Mus musculus: one gene and its partner. The protein of the gene in region 1 interacts with the protein of each later gene in a pairwise test. Links are inferred from orthologs where the notes say so. Each region holds a gene or a part of one and is shown on either strand. Other genes may lie near its edges. The genes, in order: Klc3 and Bicdl2.

The links.
Region 2: the proteins of Klc3 (region 1) and Bicdl2 interact in binary tests that used the Homo sapiens proteins (3 or more experiments, as listed by UniProt). The two-hybrid records come from large-scale screens. The link is inferred for Mus musculus from reciprocal best matches to the Homo sapiens genes KLC3 and BICDL2.

The regions. Positions count from the first base shown.
Region 1 is NC_000073.6:19,401,097-19,405,387, forward strand, and holds the start of Klc3 (kinesin light chain 3), read right to left. Parts: upstream 3,009-4,291; 5' UTR 2,925-3,008; intron 2,756-2,924; exon of another isoform or gene 2,666-2,755; coding exon of another isoform or gene 2,659-2,665; intron 1-2,658. UniProt on the Homo sapiens protein: Kinesin is a microtubule-associated force-producing protein that may play a role in organelle transport. Plays a role during spermiogenesis in the development of the sperm tail midpiece and in the normal function of spermatozoa.
Region 2 is NC_000083.6:23,666,076-23,669,197, reverse strand, and holds the end of Bicdl2 (BICD family-like cargo adapter 2), read right to left. Parts: coding exon 3,110-3,122; intron 2,450-3,109; coding exon 2,252-2,449; intron 2,139-2,251; coding exon 1,989-2,138; intron 1,650-1,988; coding exon 1,519-1,649; intron 1,310-1,518; coding exon 1,189-1,309; intron 1,096-1,188; coding exon 934-1,095; 3' UTR 577-933; downstream 1-576. Other genes in the region: Thoc6 (THO complex subunit 6 homolog), read left to right, coding at 1-2, 88-222, 312-392.

The DNA of each region.
Region 1 (4,291 bases):
CCAGCACCCACATGCTGGCTTTCAACCAATTCAAGGTCCGGGGGATCTGACGCCCTCTTCTGGCCTCAGTGGGTATTGCACACACATCATGTACATACCTGCTTGCAGACAAACGCTCATGTACATAAAATAAAAATAAATCTTAGCAAATGGTGGTGGTGCACCTTGAACCCTAGCACTTGGAAGGTGCGTTTCTCTGAGTTCAAGGCCAGCCTGGACTACAGAACAAGTTTCAGGACTGCCAGAGCTACACAGAAAAATTCTGTCTCAATACTAGGGACATAGATAGCCAAACAGTGCCAAGGCCCTGGAGTCCATCCCTATTACCATAAGAAAAAAAAAGTTGATGGATGGGCATGTGGTACCAACCTGAGATCAGAAGATCAGGGCTCAAAGCCATCCTTGGCTAAACCTTCCTGTGCTACCTCAAGTGCTGGTTACAGGCAGACAGCACTGTTTGGGGACTTGTTTATTGTTTGTTTGGTTTCCAACACAGGGTTTCTCTGTGTAGCCCTGGCTGTCCTGGAACTCACTCTGTAGATCAGGCTAGCCTCAAACTCAGAGATCTGCCTGCCTCTTCCTCCTGAGTGCGCCACTTCTGCTGGGTTTAATACATGTAATTTTTAAAGAGATAATCCTCCATTACACAGTGAGTTCAGTGCCCACCCCACCCCACCCCACTTCCTTTGGTGATCTTGGGGCTGCCTGAAGTAGCATTTTCTAAGTCTCAGCGTAACATGTGGAGGCATGTGAGGTGCTCCTTCAGCAGTCTAGCCCAGAAAGAGACCCAACCTCAAACTCAGATATACAGTTTCTACTTTGTGAGTATCATTTTCAAAGGCTTTAAAGTCAAAATCTTAACTCAGATGGTCTTATTGGGTACCGCCAGGTTATGACTCAACCTCTGGAGGGGCATAGTGGCCCACACCTTTAAGCCCAGCATTCAGGAGGCAGAGGCAGGAGGAGTTCCATGAGTCCAAGGCCAGCCTGATCTACAGAGTGAACTCTGTCTAAAAATAAAATAAAATAAAATAAAATAAAATAAAATAAAATTTCAGGAGCAGGACCGGATCGAGCAGGAATGGGAAAAAACATTTTGGGGCTGGAGAGATGGCTCAGCAGTTAAGAGCACTGACTGCCCTTCCAGAGGTCCTGAGTTCAATTCCCAGCAACCACATAGTGGCTCACAACCACCTGGAATGAGATCTAATACCCTTTTCTGGAGTGTCTGAAGACAGCTACAGTTTATTTACATATAATAAATCTTTGAAGAAAGAAATAACATTTCAACTTCTCCCCAGATGTGGAGTCTCACACCTGTAATCCCAATACAGAAATGGGAGGATCAGGTGTTCAGGTCACTTCATCTCTACAAACAAAACCAAAATACCATACCATATACGAGGCACGTGAGTAAGATCACCGGTGAGCGCGTGTAGAACCTGGGTAGGCTCAACCTCACACACCCTGTAAGTAGTCAGTCTCACACAAGCTCAGGGTGAGCCATCCTGACTCTGCCCCAGTGTGGCCAGGATCACCACCGCCCTCCCCACCGCACAATCTCAGACCCAAGGGGCCATGCTCCATATGCAGCTTCCCACAGCTCAGCCGCAGCCATCTGCCACTCGAGCTGTCCCCGGCACTCACAGGAGCCCCAAGAGAGCTTCACTAGTCCACAGCAGGCTTGCCCCACACTCACGTGTGTGCACGTATACACACACACACACCTAAGTAAACCTCAGCTTGCAGACACAGTCACCCACATACCCACACACAGCCAACAGTTAGTCAGTGACAGTCACATATCACTGACACAATTCCACACACTCCACCCCCACTGCCACGCAACACCTAGATCCAACCCCATTCCCTGCCACACATGGCCATCTGTGTGAATCAACCACAAGTATACAGTTGACCCAGTATCTCAGTCACACATGCTCAGTGCTATGCACAGTCCGCATGTAACACACACACACACACACACACAGGAGACAGACAAGATCATCCACATTCACTCTGTCCCCATCACTGAGTAACATGGTAGCTCATTTCTTTTACACTCTTACCCACAATGTGACTCTTTCTTACTTTTAAAATATATATAATTTTATATATACATATGTATGTGTATATATATGTTGATACAGATTTTCTCTAATATATATACATATGTATGAATATGTATACATTGACACAGAATTTCTCTGTGTAGCCCTGGCTGTCTTCAGAGATCCGCCTGTCTCTGCCTCCCGAGTGCTGGGATTATAGGTGTGCATCATGATGCCTGGTCCCTAGTCAACTTTTTTCCCTTTATGTACTTATTGTGTGTGCAGAGGCACATGGATTGCCAAGAGAACAACTTGCAACTTAAGGGAGGAGTCCTTTCTCTCCTCCCACCTTTCGGATCCTGTGGATCAAACTTGAGAAATAGACAGTTTGGCATCAACACCTTTACTCTCCTTGCTGGCCCACGTTCCTTTTCTTTTTCTCCCTCCCTTTGGCATCTGTACCCACATCCGCCCTCCTTCTGTCTCTCTCCCTTGAGTACGAAGCCCAGGCTCGCTCGCCTCCAACTCCGCTCCTCCCGCCTCAGTTTCCACAGTGCGCCCTGCCTTACTCTCCCTCTCTTTGCACACCTCGCGCAGGCTCCCTTACCATGCATGTCTTGCACCCTCAGGCTGCAGCGGGGGACCCTCCGACAGCCGGCCAGCCCCTCCCCGCGGCCGCGGAGACCCTGCACCGGACTTCGCGTCACAAGGCCCCGCCCCGCCCGCAGCTGTTTTTCTACTCCGCTAGGGGCCGGGCGGGGCTCCGCGGGGACCCCGAGGCTCATCCCGGCCACCAGGTCCCTGGCTCCCTCCCTCCATCCCTGCGGCCCCCTCGGGAATCCCGAAGCAGCCGCCGCCGTCCCCCGTGCCCACCTGACGGCCGCCCGCCCGAGCCGCCTCGCTGCGCGGAGACCGGGCTGCTCCCGCTGCGCGGCCGCCGCCTTCCCGGAGGCTCCTGAGGGAGGTGGGGCAGGGCAAAGCCACGCCCCCGCAGGTGCGCAGGCCGCGCCCTCCGCCAGCACACATTGAGAAACCTGTGGTCTAGAGGCGGGGCGGGGCCGATGGAGGCAACGCACGCCCCCGCAGGCGCCCAGGCCACGCCCTCTGCCGCAGCATTCGGTGAAACCTGCGTTCCGAGAACTTCTGAAAACTTTATCTGGGGGCCTTCGAGAAGGCTCAGACAGTAAGGGTGCATGCTGCCAATCCTGAGGAGCTGAGTTCGATCCCTGAGACCTTCAGGGTGGACAGAGACGGACTCCCACATGTTGTTTTCTGACTTCTACATGTGTCCAGTCATACATACACAAATATGGAATAAACAGATGGCTCATCAGGTAAGAGTGCTGGCTGCTTTTGCAGAGGACCCAGGTTCGATTTCCAGAACCCACATGTCGGCTCAAAATCATCTGTAATTCCAGTTCCAGGGAGATCCAGCACTTTCTTCCAGGGCCTCCACAGACACACATAAAATAAAGATAAAAATCTCCAAAAAATATTGTTTTAATAATTACAACCTGAAGACCTTGCACAACTATTCCTGGCTGAGAAGATGGTAAGGGCGCTAGCTGCCAAGCTTGACAGCCTGAGTTTCATCTCCAAGAACCATGAAAACTGACTCCTGGGAATTATTCCGGAGTTGGTCAAGGAGAGCCTGGATGGATTCACATGCATGGATGGAACGTGGGCACCCACACACGTGCATTTGTGTATACATACGGACACATAAGTAAGAGGGGTTTTCTTTATTTTAAAGATTTATATTACTGTGCATTGGTGTTCTGCCTGTAGATCTGGGTGAGGGCATCAGATCCTCTGGAACTGGAGTTACAGACAATTGTGAGCCACCATGTGGGTGCTGGGAATTGAACTTGGGTCTTCTGGAAGACCTGAATTGATTAACATGAGCTAACAGTAGTGTGTGCACTGCTGGGAGTGGTACCCAGAGCCCTGTGAATACAAGGAAAAAGCATCTACTATTTAGCTCTCCCTGCCATATATATATTTATAGATATAGATATAGATGTGTGTGTGTGTGTTGATTTTATTAATTCTCTCTGCCCTCCTTTTCTGAGGCAGGGTCTCACTTAATTCTGAAAATACAGCCACTGTACCCTAGTTACCTTTATTTTATTGAGGGGGGATAGAGTCTCCCTATAAAGCTCAGCTGGGCTCAAACTTACAGTCCTGCCTCAGCCTCCTGAATAGCTCCCATGCTGCAGTATCTAAGAATCTCTTAATGT
Region 2 (3,122 bases), on another chromosome or scaffold:
TGGTGAGACCCCCTGTCTTGATCCTGTCCCACTATCCAGTGCCCCCACCTAGACCTGACCCCTGCACCTCCTCTTTGTCCTCCACAGATCCTGTCTGCTGGCCAGGGCTGTTGTGTCAATCACTGGCAACTGAGCGGGGAGCTTAAGGCCCAGGTGCCTGGCTCCTCCCCAGGGCTGCTCAGCCTGAGCCTCAACCAGCAGCCAGCAGCCCCAGAGTGCAAGGTGGGTCTTGGAATGGCCATGGGGGTCTCTCCAGGCCTGTAGATGGGCGACTTAGCCAGGTATGTCTTCTTTGTCTTCTTTGCCTTTAGGTCCTGACTGCATCGGGCAACAGCTGTCGAGTAGATGTCTTTACCAACCTGGGCTACCGAGCCTTCTCTTTGTCCTTTTGACATCATGACCCTGTATTTCAGGAGCTAGAGTGATGCTTGTGTTTTGGGATAGGGGTTTTAAACTTTAGCTCAGGCTGGCCTGGAACTCATTTGGCTTAGCTTGATCTCAAACTCCTGTATGAGATTTAGCTTGGTGAACCGTTACATTCAGCTTTTGTTGTCCTGTCAAAATAAAATTTTAGGCTTTTCTTGTTTGCATTTTATTCCCCAAAAATGGAGACCAATTAAGTATAGTGATTTATATATATAGCTCTGACTTATCCTTACACATAAATACCCATCCCCACCCCTCTCGCACAGATGGGGCAGGACCTGGCGCTTAGAAAAGATAGATCTATTTAGATTCAAAAAATAAACAGCTCTGCCCCCGCCACCCACCTGGGGCACCTGCCCCAAAGCTGGCCCCTGCACCCAAAGTGCCTCTGTCCACCTCTTGGGGCATGGAAGACTTCCCTTGGAAGTCATTTTAGACCCCACGGCTCCATTGGCTGTTAGGAAATTGAGCTCCAGAGTGAGAAAAGGTAGCCCTGGCCCCCAACCCTCAGGTCCTTCGGAAGAGGTTGCTCAGAAAGCCTCCACTCTGCCCGGATCCCAGGCGCAGTGAAAAGCGGGTCTTCGCACGTCTTGGGGCGGCTGCAGCCTCACTGAGCTCTTTCTGGCGCTGGGAGCGCAGCTGCTGTCCAATCACTACCTGCATGTCGTCCTGAAGGTAGGAGGCAAAGCAGGGTGGGTATGGGGGTGGGATGAGGTCAGGATACCTGTCCACCAGTCCTCCTCAGGGTCTGCCCTCTCTTACCTGCCAAGCCTCGAGCTCCTGCGTCAGTGCCACCTTCTGGCGGATGGCGCGCAGCAGCTCCCGGGACAGAGAGTCCCGCTCTAGGGAGACACGACTGAGCTCCAGTGACAGCTTCATGGCCCTGAGAATCAAAGGGATAGAGAACTTGGTCCGGGGGGTGCTGGGGCCTCCTGGACCTTGGTAAAAGGGGGGTGGGGGCGGGGCTGAAGCTTCTGAGTCAAAATGAAGGCTATACTCCTGTCAGGGTGATGGAAATCAGGGACCCAGAAGGACCAGATAGAGTATAAGCCCCTCCCGAGGCAACAGGGGAGAAGAGAATGCCAGGCTCACTTGTTCACTGCTTCGTCCCGGTCAGAGAGCGCACTGCTCAGGGCTTCCTCTGGATTGTCCTGCGCTCTCAGCTCCTTTTGTCTCTGCAGCTCATCCCGCAGCGTCTGTAGCTCTGTACGGTGTAGCGTGATCTACAGGCCAGGAAGAGAGCAGACTGGTACAAAAGCCTTGGAGGACAACCTGCCCTCCCACAACCTGGGACTGCTCTATAAACACCGCAGGCAACTCAGCCTGTGTTCAAACTCAGAGTGAATCCTTTGAATCAGGTGGCGTAGTAAAGAAGAGGTAGGGCTAGCCTTCAACAGGACGGATGCAGGGAGAAGTTTAGGGAGCAGTAGAGCCCCTGAGGCTTCCAGGGGGTACAGACTAGCTCAGGTAGACTACAAGTTCATGGAGGAGGGGGCTTGACAGTGGAGATGGCAAAGAAGTGGACACCTGGGGGCTTTGTGTGCAGTACCATGCTCTCCCACCTCATCCTGCAGCCTGGCCACTTCTGCCTCCTTCTCCTCCAGTATTTCCACTGGGCTCAGGGATGCTCGTTTCTTAGGTGGCTCCAAGATCTCTTCCTGTATTGAAGGCTGGGGACTGGATGTCTCTTGAGTCTCAGGGGACAATATGGCCTGTTTGTCAAAGGAATTGGTCAGTGATGTATGTTACCTCTGGGAAAAGGAGGAGTAGAGCCTGCATCCTTCATAAATGATTTGAATGTGGGGCTGGTAGGCTGCAAGCTCACCTGAGAGCCTCCACATTCATTGACTTGCTGGTCTTGGTCTTGGTCACTGTCAAGGCTGTGGGCGAGCTCGGTCTGCAGGGAGGCGCCCGATATCTCGGTGTCTTGGAGTCGCGACTCCTCCTCCAGCTCTGACACCCGCCGCTGCAGCCCCCTCAGCGTTCTCAGCGCCTCTCCAGCCTCGAAGCGGGCGCGTTCCAGCTGCAGGTCATACAGATCCGTCCAGCTGTCAGCAGGAAGCTGGCCCTCTGCGGTGGGCCCACGGGGCGCCCGAGGGCTATGCCCGGGTCTGCACCCCGGTGGAGCAGGCCTGCTCTCTCTCCTGAATCACAGTTACCTAGAACACACACCTCCCTTTTGCAGGCACCAATTTCCTCAACTATAAAGCAGGGCGTGCCTGGCATCGTCCTCTGCCCAGGTCTGGCTTCATCAGGTCATCTCACAGAGTAGGTCCCCTCCCCTGTGCAGTCTTCCTTCTAATTCACTAAATGCTTTGATCTAGCATTTATTGATTCTCCTGAGTCCTACAGTCTCACCACAGTCCTTTGAGGTGTATGATACCACCCCATTGGGGAAACTGAGGCAGGGTGTGGCTAAGAAGCCAAGCTATCTGAATTCAGACTATCCTTCTTTTTCACTCCTTTCCACCGAGTCCACAGCCCCAGACTTTTCTGTCCTGAGTTCTGGCCTTGGCCTTCTTCCTGACCTGCCAGGCTGTCTGATGTACTTTAAAAGTGCCTGTCCTTTGTTCTATACACTTTCTTGGGTCCCACTTGCCCTCAGCGTCCAGTCCCACATCTCCCAGAGAGTCCCAAGGTCCTTGCCCAGCTGGCTGGCCCCTCCCCCAGCCCCTCTGATCACCTCTAGCTTGTGT